Ovis aries: one gene and its partner. The protein of the gene in region 2 binds, or shares a complex with, the protein of the main gene of each other region. Links are inferred from orthologs where the notes say so. Each region holds a gene or a part of one and is shown on either strand. Other genes may lie near its edges.

The links.
Region 1: the proteins of WDR48 (region 2) and USP12 are in contact, whole or in part, in a crystal structure (PDB 5K1C), measured with the Homo sapiens proteins. The link is inferred for Ovis aries from reciprocal best matches to the Homo sapiens genes WDR48 and USP12. Residues at the interface, in NP_065890.1 of Homo sapiens: Arg50, Trp77, Asp118, Tyr119, Lys121, Leu137, Ser170, Tyr172, Thr188, Asp211, Asn212, Lys214, Ser230, Gly254, Trp256, Arg272, Ile363, Ile364, Leu424, Lys425; in NP_872294.2 of Homo sapiens: Arg185, Leu187, Thr188, Cys189, Glu190, Thr191, Ser227, Lys230, Cys236, Arg237, Ser238, Lys239, Gln240, Glu241, His243.

The regions. Positions count from the first base shown.
Region 1 is NC_056063.1:32,979,952-32,989,911, reverse strand, and holds part of USP12 (ubiquitin carboxyl-terminal hydrolase 12), read right to left. Parts: intron 7,432-9,960; coding exon 7,205-7,431; intron 3,584-7,204; coding exon 3,507-3,583; intron 3,388-3,506; coding exon 3,304-3,387; intron 176-3,303; coding exon 1-175. UniProt on the Homo sapiens protein: Deubiquitinating enzyme that plays various roles in the regulation of the immune response and inflammation.
Region 2 is NC_056072.1:12,415,591-12,425,550, reverse strand, and holds part of WDR48 (WD repeat-containing protein 48), read right to left. Parts: intron 9,305-9,960; coding exon 9,197-9,304; intron 8,886-9,196; coding exon 8,789-8,885; intron 6,702-8,788; coding exon 6,606-6,701; intron 4,511-6,605; coding exon 4,405-4,510; intron 3,466-4,404; coding exon 3,378-3,465; intron 2,704-3,377; coding exon 2,668-2,703; intron 1,023-2,667; coding exon 946-1,022; intron 1-945. UniProt on the Homo sapiens protein: Regulator of deubiquitinating complexes, which acts as a strong activator of USP1, USP12 and USP46. Enhances the USP1-mediated deubiquitination of FANCD2; USP1 being almost inactive by itself.

The DNA of each region.
Region 1 (9,960 bases), on a different chromosome or scaffold from region 2:
CACGAGGTCATACATTCTGTCAGGATTGGTCGCGTCGCCTGAAGTGTTAAACAGACGAAGTTCTAAAGGGAAAACCACCCGGTAAGAAAGTTTTGTGTATCGATGAAGCTGATCCATATACTTAAATCTTTTCAGATGCAGAGCTAGAATCATGGGCAGCTTTTTCACTTTCATCCTGTCAGGATAAACATGAAGACAGAATCTCGTAACAGACATTCACCGTGTCCTTAAAAGAACTATCAGACTGCAGGACTCAATAACCGCTGACAGTCAGTTTTATCAGCCCAGCACCGCCCACTTCCGCATTCTCTCTACCTGTGCCTCTTCTAAGCTTTTCTTGTGTGCTGGGGTAGAACTGACTCATAATGCTGTGATGGTCTGGGGTGAACAGCGATCTCCTGTCACTCCACCATCAGCAGGGCAACATTCTGATGGTCTTAAGACGGCCCCCTGTCCCTCATCATCTCCAAACCACATAATATGACGTGGAACTCCGTGTGGCTCCCAGACAGAGGTGTAGCCCTTTAAGAACTCTGTACTCCTGAAACAGAGGTCCCTCATGACCAGGCAGACTGCAGGCGACGCCTGTGTCTGGTAGAGGAAAAACCGGTTCCTAAGAGCTGCTGTGCGCAGAGACTGAAATCCATTCGTTCTGCTCATCTGTAAGTCAGGAACAGACTGGGAACAGGAGAGAGAGAAGAGCAATGGAGACCAGCCACTCAGGGCGTTTCACAGACAGGATACAGCTTCTTACTAACAGCTCTGACTGTGCGGATCCCACAAAGGCAATACAATAACCTGGAAACACAGGAATGAGGTTTCTACCTGTCAAGTCCAGGCCGCCTCATCCTCAACAATCCTGACGACCCCCTCCACGCCATCTCTGCTCCCCGATGTCACCGCACGGCAGCCTCTTCCTAACAAAATTCACCGCCAACGCTTTCCCTTCCGACAGAAACAGCTGTTCTCCTCGGTCCTCCACCAGCACTTTACAGACTCACCCTGTCTCGGAACAGTCTGCTACACTACAAAATACAGAGATGGCTGTGGTCTCTCTCTCTGTCTAGGGTCTGGACTCTGGGCAGACAGAAACCATCTCTTTCATTGTATTTCTTCACCACCCAGTAATATGCCTGGCACACAGCAGGTACTTGACAAACAGTGCAGGACTGAATTCTGTATGTGTTCAGTGAAGCAAAACACTTCTCATGCTAAAAAAAAAATTTACTAAGCCACTGCCTCTAATAAAGTGAAAAAAAATTTTTTTATAGCCTTATTCGAAACCTGCATTCTACAGATCTTAAATGTGGAGGAGCAGCAGATTATCCCAGAAATATTTACTAACCTGGCCAGTGCAAAACACTAATGAAAAGAAATGTAAAAACCCAATCTTTGCTGGAAAACCAGCCAGCCACAGGAACCAACAGTCTTTATGTCCTTTTCCTCAATAATTCCATTTCTAGAAATTAAATATATAACCTCAAATACAATATCCCTGAGCCCTCACTGAGACTGAGAAACAGGGATATTTATAATCTCAAAATACCTCCACACAAAATGCATATCAGTTACAACTAGGGAGAAAGCACAGCTTAACGCTGGGAGACAGCACCTCAGTCAAGTGACCAGAGAGAACGGTAGCAGTCACAGGACATCCTGGGAAAGGCTGGCTGTGGGGCTGACCCTCAGCTGGCATCTGGGAACTTGATCTGGGGGGACTCCTGCTGTTCCCTAGCTGGTAAGAGGGTCTTGATGTGCCTGAACTTGTTGCGCAGATCATATGGTTTATGCTGAACACCTGCTTCCCTTGCAGGAGCCTGGAGTTTTGGTACACGCCTGATGGCTTGGCGGGTGAAGAATCCCCCTGCGATGCATTAGACGTAGAGACTCAGGTTTGACCCCTGGGTCAGGAAGATCCCCTGGAGGAGGAATAGCAACCCACTCCAATATTCTTGCCTGGAGAATCCCCATGGACAGAGGAGTGTGGAGGACTGTGGTCCACGGGACTGTAAAGAGTCGGACACTGCGTGACTGAGCGTGTACGCACACGCAAGCAGGGAGTGCCTAGGTGGCCTGCCCCCAGTAAATCTCGGGCACCACACCGAGTCTGTGATGAGCTTCTCTGGGAGACAATGCTGTCACATTCGATGCTGGAGAAACAAGTGTGTCCATGTGACTCCACGGGGACAGGACACTTGGAAGCTGGCTTGGCTTCCCCTTTGCTGATCGGACCTGTCACTGTTCCCTGTGACAAACCTTAGCTGTGAGCAGGACTACAGACGCTGAATCCTATGAGTCCTTCTAGGGAACCATCAAATCCAGGAGCGGTCGTGGGGGCCCCGACACATGACACGTATCAAAATCGTGTACCATTTAAAAAGAACACAGCCTCACCTCTGTGTGATTCCTGCCCAGAATACAAAATCTAAACCTCATTACATTAAAACATGAGATGGACTCAAAGGAGGACATTCTGTAAAATACCTAACCTGTAATTTTTAAGTGTCAAGAGAGTGAAAGTCAAGCAAAGACTGATAAGGAACTGCTCCCAGTATAAAAAGATGACAGAGACACAAATGGTAAATGCAACGTGTGCCTCTGGACTAGACCCTTTTTTCCTATAAAGGACATTACTGGGACATCTGGTGATGCTAAAGTAAGGTCTACAACAACAGTAACATCTCAGCGCTGCTCTCCTGACGTGGCCGGACATGGTACAGGGGAAACGTCCTTGCTGGCAGGATACCACTACCGAAGCCTCAGAACTGTGGGACATCACAGCAGGGACCCACTCTCAAATGGTTAAGGGTGAAAAGCATTCTTGGTATACTGTTCACAAGACTTTGAGGCTGCCTCAAAACAAAAAGTAAAATAATCAGGGTGATGATAAGTCCATTTTCTGATACCAGAGTACTGTCCTCATGGTGACACACTGAGAGAAGGCGTGAATCCTATGGAGGAACAGTGGAGACTGGAGTGGGCGTGAGGAAAGCACTTTTCCCCTCTTCTTTCCTCACCACGAGAAAGCTTACACAACGAGGAAAGCTTCAAAGCAGAATCCTCTCACTGTATTGGTTTATGGCGATTAAACACTCACCAAGTGTGGATAGTCAAGGCAGCCCGGAGTTGAGCACTGTTTGCCTGGTAACTACCTCATGTGTTTGTCTAGTAATTACCTAATGAGTCTTAACAGTTGGTGATAAAATAAAGGATGATTACTCAATGCAAACTGCCAGAGATCACTTTTGGTTAGAACATCCATGGCCAAAGAATCACTATGAATTACAGAAAACACTAAATTACCGTTTGTGTGCTTCCTGTTTGCTGCGACATTCTTCACAGTAGTATTTGTATTCACTGCATAGAGTTTCTGTGTTGCTAAAACCCCTGTGTAAAATCCAAAATAAATTAGTTTTGCCTGTACCAGAAAATGATGCATTCATTTAAAGATATTCTAAAAACCAAAGATAATCATTAACTGTCAAAATAAATAATTCCACGCTTACCTTAAGCAGTGAGTAATTGATGTGTTTTGTTCCACGTCAACAGAAAGGTCTAAAAAATCTTCATCTTTGCTGCTTATCTGTAAAAATAAGAGAATTAATTACCTTTGATTTCTTTAGGTATCAGTAAATTACTGCTCCAAAGTGAAAGAATTAAATGTGGGTTATTATCAGTATTATTAAATATATAAAGAACCTTTTTCCCCAAGTTGAAAAGAAACTACTTGAGTCATACAAGTTTACAAAAGGAAGCTGAATCAATACCCTTCATTATATTTAGAAGAAAATACCAAAGTGCACCTACAGCTGCTCTCCTTACTGGCAAAGGCTGGTGTGATGTGAAATCCCATCACTTCCCCGAATCCTGGTATTGGGGGTGGTTTGGTCACTCAGTCGTGGCCCACTCTTTCAACCCCATGGGCTGTAGCCTGCCAGGCTCCCATGTCCATGGTGTAAAGCATAAAACAAACTATGCCATACACAGTAATTCTTAAAAGAACACAGGACAAGGATGAATGAGAATGGCTGGTAAAGGACATGATCTCTATACTGTTTAATTATTTAAGAAAAAAACTACCATTTAAGAAAAAATATTAGTCCAACATGCCAAACTGAGCCTTCACTTATGACCTTCTTTTATTTATCCTCCAAATTTAACCATGTTCTGATTTATGAATGAATCATCTATAATGATCTAAGTTACTACTTAATCAGTGAGCTAGAGTAAGACACATCACTCATGCTGGCTGCCTCCCTTGACGGGATGCAACAGGAGGGACGTCAGACTTGGTCCCTGGGACCCCTCCACCACCAAGTGACTCCACATGCACAGATGGTCTGTGATGACTTTTTCGATACAACACGAAAAGCATTTAAAGAATATCAAAAGCATTTCCATGAAGGAAAAAAAAACAAAAAGTTCAGTTCAGTCGCTCAGCCGTGTCCAACTCTTTGCGACTCCATGAATCACAGCATGCCAGGCCTCCCTGTCCATCACCATCTCCCGAAGTTCACTCAGACTCACGTCCATCGAGTCCGTGATGCCATCCAGCCATCTCATCCATGGTTGTCCCCTTCCGCTTCTAATCCCCAATCCCTCCCAGCATCAGAGTCTTTTCCAATGAGTCAACTCTTCGCATGAGGTGGCCAAAGTACTGGAGCTTTAGCTTTAGCATCACTCCTTCCAAAGAAATCCCAGGGTTGATCTCCTTCAGAATGGACTGGTTGGATCTCCTTGCAGTCCAAGGGACTCTCAAGAGTCTTCTCCAACACCACAGTTCAAATGCATCAATTCTTCGGCGCTCAGCCTTCTTCACAGTCCAACTCTCACATCCATACATGACTACTGGAAAAACCATAGCCCTGACCAGATGGACCTTAGTCGGCAAAGTAATGTCTCTGCTTTTTGAATATGCTGTCTAGGTTGGTCATAACTTTCCTTCCAAGGAGTAAGCATCTTTTAATTTCATGGCTGCAATCACCATCTGCAGTGATTTTGGAGCCCCCAAAAATAAAGTCTGACACTGTTTCCACTGTTTCCCCATCTATTTCCCATGAAGTGATGGGATCAGATGCCATGATCTTTGTTTTCTGAATGTTGAGCTTTAAGCCATCTTTTTCACTCTCCTCTTTCACTTTCATCAAGAGGCTTTTTAGTTCCTCTTCACTTTCTGCCATAAGGGTGGTGTCATCTGCATATCTGAGGTTATTGATATTTCTCCTGGCAATCTTGATTCCAGCTCGTGTTTCTTCCAGCCCAGCATTTCTCATGATGTACTCTGCATATAAGTTAAATAAGCAGGGTGACAGTATACAGCCTTGACATATTCCTTTTCCTATTTGGAACCAGTCTGTTGTTCCATGTCCAGGTCTAACTGTTGCTTCCTCACCTGCATATAGATTCTTTAGGAGGCAGGTCAGGTGGTCTGGTATTCCCATCTCTTTCAGAATTTTCCACAGTTTCTTGTGATCCACACAGTCAAAGGCTTTGGCATAGTCAATAAAGCAGAAATACATGTTTTTCTGGAACTCTCTTGCTTTTTCCATGATCCAGTGGATATTGGCAATTTGACCTCTGGTTCCTCTGCCTTTTCTAAAACCAGCTTGAACATTAGGGAGTTCACGGTTCACGTATTGCTGAAGTCTGGCTTAGAGAATTTTGAGCATTACTTTACTAGCATGTGAGATGAGTGCAATTGTGCGGTAGTTTGAGCATTCCTTGGCACTGCCTTTCTTTGGGATTGGAATGAAAACTGCCCTTTTCCAGTCCTGTGGCCACTGCTGAGTCTTCCAAATCTGCTGGCATATTGAGTGCAGCACTTTCACAGCATCATCTTTCAGGATTTGAAATAGCTCCACTGGAATTCCATCACCTCTACTAGCTTTGTTCGTAGTGATGCTTTCTAAGGCCCACCTGACTTCACATTCCAAGATGTCTGGCTCTAGACGAGTGATCACATCATCATGATTATCTGGGTCGTGAAGATCTTTTTTGTACAGTTTTTCCGTGTATTCTTGCCACCTCTTCTTAGTATCTTCTGCTTCTGTTAGGTCTATACCATTTCTGTCCTTTAAACTGGACTTTATTAAAATTTAAAATTAAAACATTAAAAACTTCTGATCTGCCAAAGGTATGGTTGACAGCATGTGAAGATGAGCCACAGGCTGGGAGAAAACCTTGCAAATGACACCTCTGACAAAGGCCTGGTGTCTAAAATGTACAGAGTACTCCTGAAACTCAACAGCTAGAAAACAAACAACCTCATGTGAAAAATGGCCCAAAGACTAGTACTGATACCTCACCAAGGAAGATATATAAAGACGGCAAACGGGTGCATGAAAAGATATTCCACGTTATATGCCATCAGAGAAATGCAAATTAAATGCATTTGATTTAAATATAATACTACACACCTATTAAAACAGCCAAAATCCAAAACACCAACATCAGCAAGTGCTGACCAGGACGTGGAGCAGCAGGAACTCTCCCTCATTCCTGGTGGGAATGTGAATGTAGTTCCTTCCAAAACTAAATGTACTCTTCCTACCACACGATCTAGCAACTGCGCCCCTGGCCACTAACTGAGGCACTGAAAACTTATATCCACACAAAATCCTGCACATGTGTGTTCAGAGCAAGTTTATTCATAATTACCAAAACAAGCAACTGAGGTGTCCTTCAGTAGGTAAATGGATAAACTCTGGTACATCCAGACAATAAAATGTAATTCAGCAATAAAAAGAAATGAGCTATCAAGCTGTGACAAGGCAGGTGGGAACCTTAAATACCCACTGCCGAGTGAAAGAAGTCAATCTGAAAGGGCCCCATGCTCTACGACTCCAGCCATGTGGCATCCGGAGAGGGCAAGCTCTGGAGGCAGTAAAATGACCAGTGGCCGCTAGGGGTCAGGGGAGGGGAGGCACAAATACACAGGCCACAGAGGGTCGCCAGAGCAGCGAGACTACTCTGTAGGACACTGCAGTCACAACACAGCCCAACTGTTCAACATGAAGTCTCGAAACAGTTCACGCCGCAGCGAGTGTTTCTCTGCCAGCTCAGGGTTCGGTCAACAAGCAGACAGCCGAGAGGCTCGTCAGTCACAGGCACCACAACTCTCAAGCTCACTCTCATACTCATCCTCAAAGAGCTTTTAACACAACGGGTTAGATGCGTTCTATATGACATTTTATGAGACACTTACGGTTTCACACGTAAGACACCTGGTTTCATTAGTCAGTGTTCCCTGGAAGATCTCATGAACCCATGTCGGGTCTGGTGTGCTGTTATTTTCACTGTCAATGTTACCATTAGGCAGACGACCATTTTGTTTCTCCTGCTTTCTCTCTTCTTGTAAAATATCAGCAATGGTATTTAGTAGGTAATTTAGGAATTCGTGGGCATCTTGCTGCATGTAGTTGTCAAAGAGCTCTAAAAATAAGAATGCACAGAGAATTATTTCAGAATGAGTTACTTCATTAAAAAAACTAAATTAAAAAAAGAATATCTAGTATTCTATCAGAATTACATAAAATGTTTGTGACTGTTAGTAATGAACAAGAAACATGTATCTTTCACATATACAAATTATGACTCAAATTTGAGGAAAATACAGTTATGAAGAAAAATCTTCTAAAAAATACTAATTGATCAAAAAAAGAGAAAACCTATCCTCATACATAATGTATTGAGGTAGTAAGAAACAACTGCTTTTTATCAGTTCACTTAATCTATTGTCCCATAAATAAAACAAAAAGGCAAAATGGTTGTCTGAGGAGGTCTTACAAATAGCTGTGAAAAGAAGAGAAGTGAAAGGCAAAGGAAAAAAGGAAAGATGTACCCATTTGAATGCAGAGTTCCAAAGAATAGCAAGGAGAGATAAGAAACACTTCCTCAGTGATCAATGCAAAGAAACAGAGGAAAACACCAGAATGGGAAAGACTAGAGACCTCTTCAAGAAAATTAAGAGATACCAAGGGAACATTTTATGCAAAGATGGGCTCAATAAAGGACAGAAATGGTAGGGGCCTAACAGAAGCAGAAGACATTAAGAAGAGCTGGCAAGAATACATAGAAGAACTATACAAAAAGATCTTCACGACCCAGATAATCACAATGGTATGATCACTGACCTACAGCCAGACATCCTGGAGTGTGAAGTCAAGTGGGTCTTAGGAAGCATCACTATGAACAAAGCTAGTGGACGTGACGGAATTCCAGTTGAGCTATTTCAAATCCTGAAAGATGATGCGGTGAAAGTGCTGCACTCAATATGCCAGCAGATTTGGAAAATTCAGCAGTGACCGCAGGACTGGAGAAGGTCAGTTTCCATTCCAATCCCAAAGAAAGGCAATGCCAAAGAATGCTCAAACTACCACACAATTGCACTCATCTCACACGCTAGTAAAGTAATGCTCAAAATTCTCTAAGCCAGGCTTCAGCAATACGTGAACCGTGAACTTCCAAGATGTTCAAGCTGGATTTAGAAAAGGCAGAGGAACCAGAGGTCAAATTGCCAATATCCACTGGATCATGGAAAAAGCAAGAGAGTTCCAGAAAAACATCTATTTCTGCTTTATTGACTATGCCAAAGCCTTTGACTGTGTGGATCACAAGAAACTGTGGAAAATTCTGAAAGAGATGGGAATACCAGACCACCTGACCTGCCTCCTAAAGAATCTATATGCAGGTGAGGAAGCAACAGTTAGAACTGGACATGGAACAACAGACTGGTTTCAAATCAGGAAAGGAATATGTCAAGACTGTATACTGTCACCCTACTTATTTAACTTATATGCAGAGTACATCATGAGAAATGCTGGACTGGAAGAAGTACAAGCTGGAATCAAGATTGCCAGGAGAAATATCAATAACCTCAGATATGCAGATGACACCACCCTTATGGCAGAAAATGAAGAAGATCTAAAGAGGCTCTTGATGAAAGTGAAAGAGGAGAGTGAAAAAGATGGCTTAAAACTCAACATTCAGAAAACTGAGATCATGGCATCTGGTCCCATCAGTTCATGGGAAATAGATGGAAAAACAATGGGAACATTTGACAGACTTTATTTTTAGGGGCTCCAAAATCACTGCAGATGGTGACTGCAGCCATGAAATTAAAAGATGCTTACTCCTTGGAAGAAAAGATATGATCAACCTAGATAGCATATTCAAAAGCAGAGACATTACTTTGCCAACAAAGGTCCATCTAGTCAAGGCTATGGTTTTTCCAGTAGTTATGTATGGATGTGAGAGTCGGACTATAAAGAAAGCTGAATGCTGAGGAATCGATGTTCTTGAACTATGGTGTTGGAGAAGACTCTTGAGAGTCCCTGGACTGTGAGGAGATCAAACCAGTCCATCCTAAAGGAAATCAGTCCTGAATATTCATTGGAAGGACTGATGCTGAAGCTGAAACTCCAATACTTTGGCCACCTAATGCAAAGAACTGACTCACTGGAAAAGACTCTGATGCTGGGAAAGACTGAAGGGAGGAGGAGAAGGGGACGACAGAGGATGAGATGGTTGGATGGCGTCAACGACTCAATGGACATGAGTTTGAGCAAGCTCCAGGAGTTGGTGATGGACAGGGAGGCCTGGTGTGCTGCACTCCATGGGGTCACAAAGCGATTGAACAGAACTGATAAATACTACAACAGGGCAAGTTTTAAAGCAGGAAGTGGACAACCTTGTGGCAGTGCCAGGGCAAATGTATACGAATCACAGAGGAAGCCTTGAACATGATAAATCACTGGGCCACACAGCCCCGTGTACATTCTCTGACAGAGTTAGGTGAGGCCTGGAACCTGCACTTCTCTAAGCTCCTCCAGGTGATTCTGCTGTGCAGTCACGTTTAGGGAACAAAGGCAACATGGAAAATATATTTAATCCAGAGAATCTCTAAGGGCCCTTCCAAAGATCTGTAACTCCGTGGAACGTCCCCGTAGCTACTCAAATGAG
Region 2 (9,960 bases):
TGATAAGGCTATATCATACCACAGAAACATAAACCAATACATGTTCTCAGGCATTGCTTTAATCCATTTTCAGAATTCCCAACAGATTTCTTATAGTGTCCTCTCCTAAAACAGATTATGTGCAAATAAGTGAGATTATATACATAAAAAGTAGCCTTCTAGGTTCTATTCCCTTAAAGACTTTCCCAGAGCATGGGCAAACTGAATGCTCCTGAAAGGGAAGGCAGCCCCTGTTGCTTATTAGGCTCCGATGATGGATGTACCCATTTCTCCCAGGGCTTCCTCCTATAGTCAAGACTTTGAGTTTCAACTGCTTGTCTGATCTCCAAACCCACCAACCCAATAGCTCCCGCCAATGTCCCAAAGGCATCACAAACTCTACATGTCCAAAACTAGATTCAGCAACTTCCTTATCCCCAAACCTACTTCTGTATCTCTGACATCAGTTAATAATGGTCAAATCAAGTAGCTCAGGCTCATACTTTAAAAGCAAGTTAAACTATATATACTTTCAATATTATGAAATTAGCCTAAGATCTAGTGCTTGCCTTCTGTGCTCTAAATGTAATCCTAACAAATAATTAAACTAATTAAATCCAACCCAGGGATCAAACCCAGCTTTCACGGATTGCAGGTGGAGTCTTTACCAGCTGAGCCACCTGGGAAGCTCAAGAATACTAGAGTGGGTAGCCTATCCCTTCTCCAGTGGATCTTCCCGACTCAGGAATCAAACCAGGCTCTCCTGCATCACAAGTGGATTCTTTAATCAGCTGAGCTGCCAGGGAAGCCCATGCTTGGTGAATGGTTAAATTGTATGACTTCAGTTTTATGGAATAGCCTAAGATCTAGTACTTGCCTCCTGTGCTATGAACGTAATCATAAGGAATAAAAAAGTCTCTGGCAATTAATCAGATCAAAGTATTGCACGACACTCCATTTACTTACTTTTTTAAGGTTTTTGCTCCTGAAGAAGCATGAGGTTGGAGGTAGAAAGGAATTTTGTTGAATTTGGGCATATTTTTCTGAAATATTAAAAGTGAAAAAAAGTAAAATAGTGTCTATTAATTGATAAACTAAAATGATGTCAATACTTGTGAAAACATGATTCATAAGTTAATTGCTATTGTACATTTAAAAGTGACTTTCTATGAAATTTATAGTAAGCTCTCAAATTATGTCAGCCTTAGAGACAGGGTATCAGAAAAGTATAAAGTTTAATTTTGTAATAAAACATATATAAAGACAAATCATATGCAGTGTCAGTAGCAGTATAAAATGGCAGCATGGCTCTTCTCAAGTAACAATTCAAGGTATTAAAGGGAAACAAACTTTATTTTAATCCTTTAAGCCATACAAACCAAAATCTCAAGTCTACATTCAAATGCCAGAACAAAAATTTAAGTATCTTGAGAGAAACCCACAACATTCACTTTTGAGCAAAACCATACACTCTATGCTGGTAAGGTCCATTATCCACCTCTAAAGGTCAATCAAGTCCTCCTAACTTGCTTTACCTCTGACATCAGAGTGAGGTCTGTCTGAGGTTTCAAATAAGAGTGGAAAGTTCAGCCAACCACCTAGATGTCCATATGATGTAAACCATACACTTAGATAAAGGATAAAATTAATTGGTCATCTTTGCTATGGGGATTAATCCCCTTTGAGCCTCCATGTCATATCCTCTTCGGATGTTTCCTCCAGGGAATAAGCCACAGGCCTAAAGTCAGCAATGCATCCGAGTGAGTTTCACACTCAAAGGAAGTAGTGGTTTATGGGGAGCTCAAATTTAGAGAAGACTAGAATATCCATCAGGTGTCAGACTGGCTTTAAGTTCTTGGAAGTTTATCTGGGACAGAAAACAAATTTTCTAGAAGGTTCTAGAGATTAAATCTCTTTTCATGAGGCTTTAAATAGACATAAAATTGGTCAATAGCACATAACTAGAAACAGACCTATGTGTGTATAGAAATTTAGTATATGATAAAACAGCATTTCAAATTAGTAGGAAAAGTTTAGATGATTCAATAAATTGTGTTGACACACTGGCTACCCATTTGGAGAAAGTTAGCATCTTACTTCACTTCACACCAAACAGAATAAATTCACCAAATAGAATAAATTCTAATACTTTAATGATCTAGATACAAACTATTATCATAAACATACTAGAAGAGAACACAAGAAAATATTTTTGCTACTCTGGAGTGCGAAATACCTAAGCAAGACATGAAACTCACAGCCATAAAGGATTAATCTGGTCATATAAAAATTAAAACTTTTTGCCTGCCAAAGGACATCATGAGCAAAGTAAAAATTCAATCAAGAGGCAAGAGAATGGTCAAAGGGTTAATATTCAGTATGAAGAACTATTACAAGTCAATAAGAAAGACAAATAACCCAATAGAAAGTCGAGTAAAGAATACAAACAGGCAACTTACAAAAGAAATAAAAATGGCCACTATGAAAAGATGCTTAACCTCACTGTAAGTTAAAAAAATTTAGAACAATGAGACAATATGTCTATCTTTCAGCAAAGATTCTAAGTATCCAGCATTGGTGAGGGTGTGGGGTTCTGGGCACTCACACACTGTTGGTGAGAGTGTAAACTGGTATACCCTTAGTGGAGTGCAATTTGGCAGTATCCATTGAAATTTAAAATGTGCATACCCTTTGATCCAGCAATTCCACTTCTAGGAATTTACCCTAAAAAGTACACAAAGATATATATACAAGGATGTTCACTGAAGCATTGTTTTTAACAGAAAACATTGGGTACAACCTAAATGTCCATTAATAGGGACTGGCTAAATAAACCATGGTACATTTATACAACAAAATATGCAGTCATTAAGAAGAAGTGATCCATACACTAATATGAAAAAATGTCCAAAATATATTTTTAAGTGAAAAACAAAACAAAAAAACACATCCAAGTTGTAGAACAGTACAGAACAGCAAATTCTGTGCAAAATAAAATGACCTACATATGGATCACATATATCTAGACACACATATACAGACACAAACACATACTTGTGTATGCACAGAAGAAGGTCCTGAAGGCATTAAGCTATTAATATTTACTACCTCTGGGAAGAAGAAGAGGAAGTGAATGGAAGACAGTGTTTGGAAAAGGATGGGAATTTCACCTTATTCATTTATTATTTTCTTTGATAAACACATTTTATATATTAAAAATAAAGATAGAAAGAGACATAATTATAATATTTCTCTGCAGCTTTGGAACTGCACAGAAGCAGAAGAGGATTCCACTTGGCAGTCTAGTTTCAATCAAAGATTATACAATTTAATACAGTAAATTTTCTTCATGATTTGGAAAAAAATAAGAGGACAAAGTGGGAGTGGAGGACACTTACATCCACAGTGATGTCAATTACCCATTGTGGCACCGTCTCATTAAGAAGCATGGACTCAGTCTCACCCCCAGAATCTCGGCAGAGCAGCCTAAACATAATCCATCATGTAGTAAGTGACAAAATAAGCACGGATCCCAATATCACTATCATTAAATGTTAGAGGGAGGGAGCTTATAGAGTTCATTCAGGATCACCCCCAACTGACAGCTGAGGAAATAAAGTAGAAGGCAGGCAGAATGACTCACTCTGCTAAGAGTGAAAGCAAGCTGTCAAACTCAGGCTCCCAGATTCGAGGCCAGACGGACACTGTGGCTGCCTGTTGGGGCCCCTGGGTGAGGACAGGAAGCTGGGTGTAGGCAAGGCACTTGAGGTCGCTCAGCAGAGCTACAGTGCACGGTAGTCCATGCACAACATGGGGTCAGGCGGTTTTCAGTGACCACACTCTCAGGAAATCACCATCAAGGAAGAGAATTCTGCTCTCAAGGGCAAGACAAATAGCTTTCTTACTTCTGGCCCATGGCTTTCTCCCATGACATTTCCTGGGCCTTGGCTAGCAACTTGGAGGTGAAGCCAGCCTAGCACTTGCCTGCAGGCCCTCAAGAAGGACTGCCTTGCACCTCAGGTCGAGCCATTGTTGGGCATGACAGTTCCCAGGAGCAGCCCAGTCCATCTCCCCTGGCCTGGTCTGAGGGAAGTTATCTACTCAGATGTTGTCCTGTGGGTGGGGACTTCTGGTGAAGTCATCTGTCCCTGGCAGTCTGGCTGGTTAAGTGAGAAAAAGCACTTCCTGCAGAAACTGCTAAGAAGCTGCCTTGAGGCAAGGTTATCAACCTCCACAAGGTATCAACCTCATTTTACCACTAGAGGCTCAGCTCTGAATTAAGATGGGGTCTAACAGCATCAGACACTTAACTATTTCAGGGAGGTGAAAAACCAAAACCCAGACACCCCTAGAAATTAATAGACATTTGCTTGAATCAAAACTTCAGGGCAAACAGGGTGCACTCTTAGCCCTTCCTACCCATACCTGAAGAGGGTGCGGCCTCCAGCTTCACCGAAGATCACAGGGGTGTGTGGCGGCACTTGAAAGTAGCCATTTCCTTTCTGTACTCGGTTCTCCTGCTCCCCGTTTACTAGGAAAAGACACAGATGGCGTCAGGATCCAGTCAGCGCTAACAACATGGACTCTAAACATTTTGTTTCCACAGGACCCAACCATTGCAAGACTTAAGTCAAGAAGTCCTGTAAGTCAGCTAGAGATGGAAATAAAGGTAAAAAACAAAGTGAAGTTCCTGAAAATAAGAAATACGGCAATGTGCGATATACCTCACGAGAAATGATTACATTTTAGAGGAGATTAATGTTTGAGATTTAAAACAAAAACATAACCATCTACTTCAGCCACAGGGCAGTCTAGAACAGTCTATAAACAATGATCTGCTCTTTCCTTTGGCGCTGGTGGGGTGGGGATTGGTAAAACACCAAGCACAGAGAAATTTGTGTCAGAAACAAAGTTTATATTTAATGGCAGCCACAACTAACGGTATTAGTGAAAAACAAAATCTCAAAGAGGTCATAAACTCATTTTTATTGCTCTCTGCAGATTTCATTTTAGTCAGATTTCATTTCAGTCAGCTCTCTGCAGCTGACTCCCCCTTGTTCATAACTACTTTCTGAAGGAATCTGGAAGCAATCTCACCCTCTGCAACCCAACAACACTCTCTCACAGCACCAACTCTGATCACACAATGCAGATGTAAGCGGTGCTTTGTCCAACCAGAATGCTAGTCCCTGAATGGAGGGATCCATGTCCATCTATCCCTATTATCCTCACAACTCACTTCAGGCCTCCGAATACTCGAGCTGCCCACCTCGTATAACCCAAGCAGCTTGAGGGTCCGCTGTGTGTCGTGCAGGTCCAGCAGGATTACCAGCCAGGTAGTGCGAGCCGTGTCCTGAGCTTGGCTCAGTCCTGCCCTGCCTTCACTAGGCCAATTTGATTCTAAGGATGATTTAACGTTTCCTGTGACTTATTCTTTACTCCCCCAACCGAAGTCTGCCTTCAAGAGATGCTGCCTGGGGCCCTTTGTTTCGATTACGTGGTCTTTATTGGCTCCTTGGGCCTCCGAGGGCACCGTCAGGTTATAGATGGAGAAAGACAAGTCAAGAACAGGAAATGGCATGCCCGCAGCTGCACAGCTGATAAAACGGCAGAGCCCACAGCAGAACCTAGCTTTCTCGACCCTGTGAGCAGATCTTTCCACTGACTCTGGCTCACAGTTCACTGTACAATTCAGAAGGGGAATGAAGCGAGCCAGGTGACAGAAGAAAGGCCATCATGTGTGGGGTCAGTGCTCTCTCTCAGACAGGGACATCAGGACACTGGCTTACAGAGAGGCATGCCATCCTTGCAAAACAGATTTAAACTCCAAAATTTATTCTGGATGAATCAGTCAGCCACAACAAACTCTCTGGCAGGAGGGCTTCATCACTGCTGACCACCACAAATAGGCAATCTTCAGAGAATCTTTAGCAGAGCAAGTCCTCAGTGGGGGGACTCAAGGTTATGTATCAGCTGTGATATTTTAAGTTTTTCCCCTCCTTTCTTGAATCAGACTGAGCCAAACTCATATGTTCCAAATTCTCCCGGGCTGCCCAGTGAGTTACTGCTGCTGCCTGTGGCACACACAGCTTTGGAATGTCCTCAATGACATTAATTCTTTACACATACTCAGTCACTTACCCTGGCACTTCTGAATTGGGAGCTGCTTTTTTGAGCCAATATCAGGTAGATCATCAGACTAGGGAATATCTACCTTTCAGGCCAATGTGAGGCATGCCTCACAACAACAAACCTGGCTTTCCAATGCAGCTAAATAGCTAGCTTTGGAGGTAAATCCAGCAGGTCCATGGATACCTTGAGAAATACTGTTAGAATGAACCTGCTAAGCTGCCTACTTTCAAGGACAAAGGTCACCTGAATACACAGGATTGATTCCATATACCTTGTGTAGTAATTAAAAGTTCTTCGATATCTCAGTTAAGACTGGATGGACGTTCTTTAGCATGTAGAAGGGAGGGCAATAAATTGAGCATACCCCAACTATTATGTCATACTTTAGCAAATGCTTAAAAAAATTTTTTAAAAAAATTCTCAGGATAACAATCTAAATATCCTTAACTTCAGAGTAATTTTAAAACCAATTATCCTAATATAAAAATACGAACCATGATTTACTTCATTTTCTTCTTCATCTATTGGATTCACATGTGTCCTAGGCCAATATTCTAGGAGTGCCTGGAGTAAAAGTCCTCCTAAGTTCACTGCAAGAGAGTCAATTAAAATAGAAACAAAAAAAACAGAAAAGAGAAACATTAGTTTTAACTTAAAAATAGAGGGAAAGCAATAAAAATGAAAAGCTTCCACATATTCTGATGTTACATTCTTAACCCAATGCCAAGGATGTCTAAAAGCAAGACTTTACGTATTTCACAAAGTCTATTAAAATTTCATCTTACAATGTTTAAAGCAGTGATAATATCAAGCAAACAGATATTCTATTTGGTTATTCAGATATAGCTGTTCTTTGAAAATGAATAAACAACAACTGAAATTGTATTCTTTAAAGGGCTATTTCCATATAAAGCCACTATATTTTGTATATATATCAGTTATTTCTACAGGCTACAATCTTAGAAGAATACTGATCAAAGATATAATTAATAAAATATAATAGACTCTTATGAAGATAAGTCTCTTCTCAACATACACAAAAATTAACTCAACAGGGACTAAAGAGATGAATGTAAGACTTGAAACCACAATACTCCCAGAAGAAAACACAGGCAGTAAGCTTGCTGACAATGATATTGGTGGATGATTTTTTTTGGATCTTACACCAAAAGCAAAGGCAATGAAGGCAAAAGTAAGTAAGTGGAACTATATCAAACTAACAAGCTTTTATAGAGCAAAGGAAATCATCAACAAAATGAAAAGGCAACCTACGGAACAGGAGAAAATATTTGCAAATTATTTATCTGAAATGGGTTAATATCCAAAATATATAAAAAATTCATACAACTCAATAGCAAAAAAATGGAAAAATCTGACTAAAAAATTGGGCAGAAGAGCTGAATAGACATTTTTCCAAAGAAGACATACAGATGGCCAACAGGCACATGAAAACATGCTCAACATCACTAATCACCAGGGAAAGGAAAATCAAAACCACAAGGAGCTATCACCTCACACCTGTGAGGATGGCTGTTAATCAAAAAGATGATAAACAACAAATGTCTGACAGTATGAGGAGAAATAGGAACCCCTGTGCACTACTGACGGGACCTAAGTTGGTGCAGACACCGTGGAAAACAGCATGGCGGTCCCTCAAAAACAAAACTATCGTATCTAGTACGCTACTTCTGAGAATTTATCTGAAGAAAAGGAAAACACTCATTTAAAAAGATATATGCACCCCCATGTTCATTGCAGCGCTATTTACAGAAAACCTCACTGTCCATTGATGGATGAATGGATAAAGAAAATGTGATATACACACAAAGAAATATTATTCAGTCATAAAGAAAATGAAGTCTTGCCATTTGTGACAACAAGGATGAACCCTGAAGGCCATATGGTTAAGCGAAATATGTTAGACACAGACAAAAGCCATATGATCTCACTTACACGTGGAATCTGAAACCAAAAAAGCAAAAAACCCCAGAGCTCACAGAAACAAAGAACAGACTGGTGGTTGCCAGATGTTGAGGGGCAGGCGTAACGGAATGGGCAAAATGGGTGAAGGGAGTCAAAAAGTATGTACTCCCAGTTATAAAATATATTCGTCACGGGGATGTGACCTACGGCATGGCAACTATATTTACTAATACTATATTGCACATTTTAAAGTCGCTAAGAGAGTAGATCTTAAAAAGTCTCAAGAGAAAAAACTTCTATACATGGCGACAGATGTTAACTATTAACTAGATTTACTGTTGTGATTATTTTGCAATATATACAAATACTGAATCATTATCCTGTACATCTGAAACCAACATATGATATGTCAGTTATACTTCAGTAATTCTTTAACTGGAGGGGGAAAAACTGTTTCCTAGCTTCAGTTATCCTTACCTAACAGATTTCCAGAATGCTTTAAGGGTAGAGAGTATGCTGCGTGTTTAATTGTTAAAGCTAAGTCATACATTGTGAGAAAACTCAAGATCCCAAAACACTTAAAATGGAATGTTTTCCATTTCCATATGAGAGAATAATATAGATTTCTTGAAAAATAATTTTTTAAAAACCCAAATATTGTTTATAAACAAAAAAGATGAGCATAAAGCAAAAAACCAGCACAGATCTACCTACTCTTTTGGAAGGAGGCGGGGAAGGAAGGACACAAACTCACGTTTTGGATCCGACCCATCAGGGCTGCTGAAGCCAGCATCTTTTGCAGAAACCCAAGCAGCAAAGCAGTCACTCTCATCCAAAGTAATTGTCAACATCTGTCAAAAGAGAAAAATTGCTTAGTGGCATTCTATTTGAATACACTCTTCAAGTAAGTCTCTAAATCCTTATTTATTTGCACTATTTGACTACAGTGCTAAGCCACAGATTCAGAATCAAAATGTGTTTCGTGTAATTCAATGCAACTACGATTTAATATACTGGGATATGAAAAGGCATTTAAACTGCATAAAACCTTCTCCTTTCAAACTTAAACACACAGGACTCCAAAACTAATAATACTTAATTCTCAGCTATATGGGAAATTTTCAACTATCCCAAATTGCACAAATATCAACTGCTAACTTACCCCTGTTTTTAAGTCTACTGAGAACCAATTTGGTACATATACCATCTTAAATCTTTTCTTAATTTCATCTTCAAAATCCACTTTGCCCAAATCTTCAACTTTACATGCCTATACATCAAAAAGAAAGTATGATAATTATTACTATTAAGCGGTCAATTTATTTGACTCTGACTTAGTTACTCAAATTTTACACATTTGCCTAAATAAAATGGAGATTAAAATATGTTTCAGAAAGAACATCACCAAACATTTTTATCTTAAAGCGTTTACCTTTAAATAACTACCTCCTAGTAAAATTTTAAAGAACCACAAAATGTTCTTTTTTTTGAAACTGTAATTTAATTTTGCTGATATTGATATAACATACCACCACACTTATCTGTAACCAATGTCAAAAGAAGGGGAAAAAGATCTTGAAGGAACAAAAAGCAGTTTGTAAACACTTTAGGAGAGCTATGAAGCTGCCTTCAGATAACAGGTATAATATAGGCAGCAATCTTAAGTTACCTTTCTTATTCATTCCCTAAATACATATGCTCCCCAAAAGTATGTTCCAAACTTCATCTGGTGCCATGGAGCATTTCCCATCAGCTCATCTCAATTCTGAACCACAAGACAGAATGTTCCCTCTACCTCTTCTTGCTAACAGCAACCTGGCTCATTCCTGAGGGTCCCAGCTCACCAGCCATCTTCTCAAAGGGTGACTACTCCATGTCTTCTTCTATAGCCCATAACTCCCTAATGGCATATAGAGACTATGATTC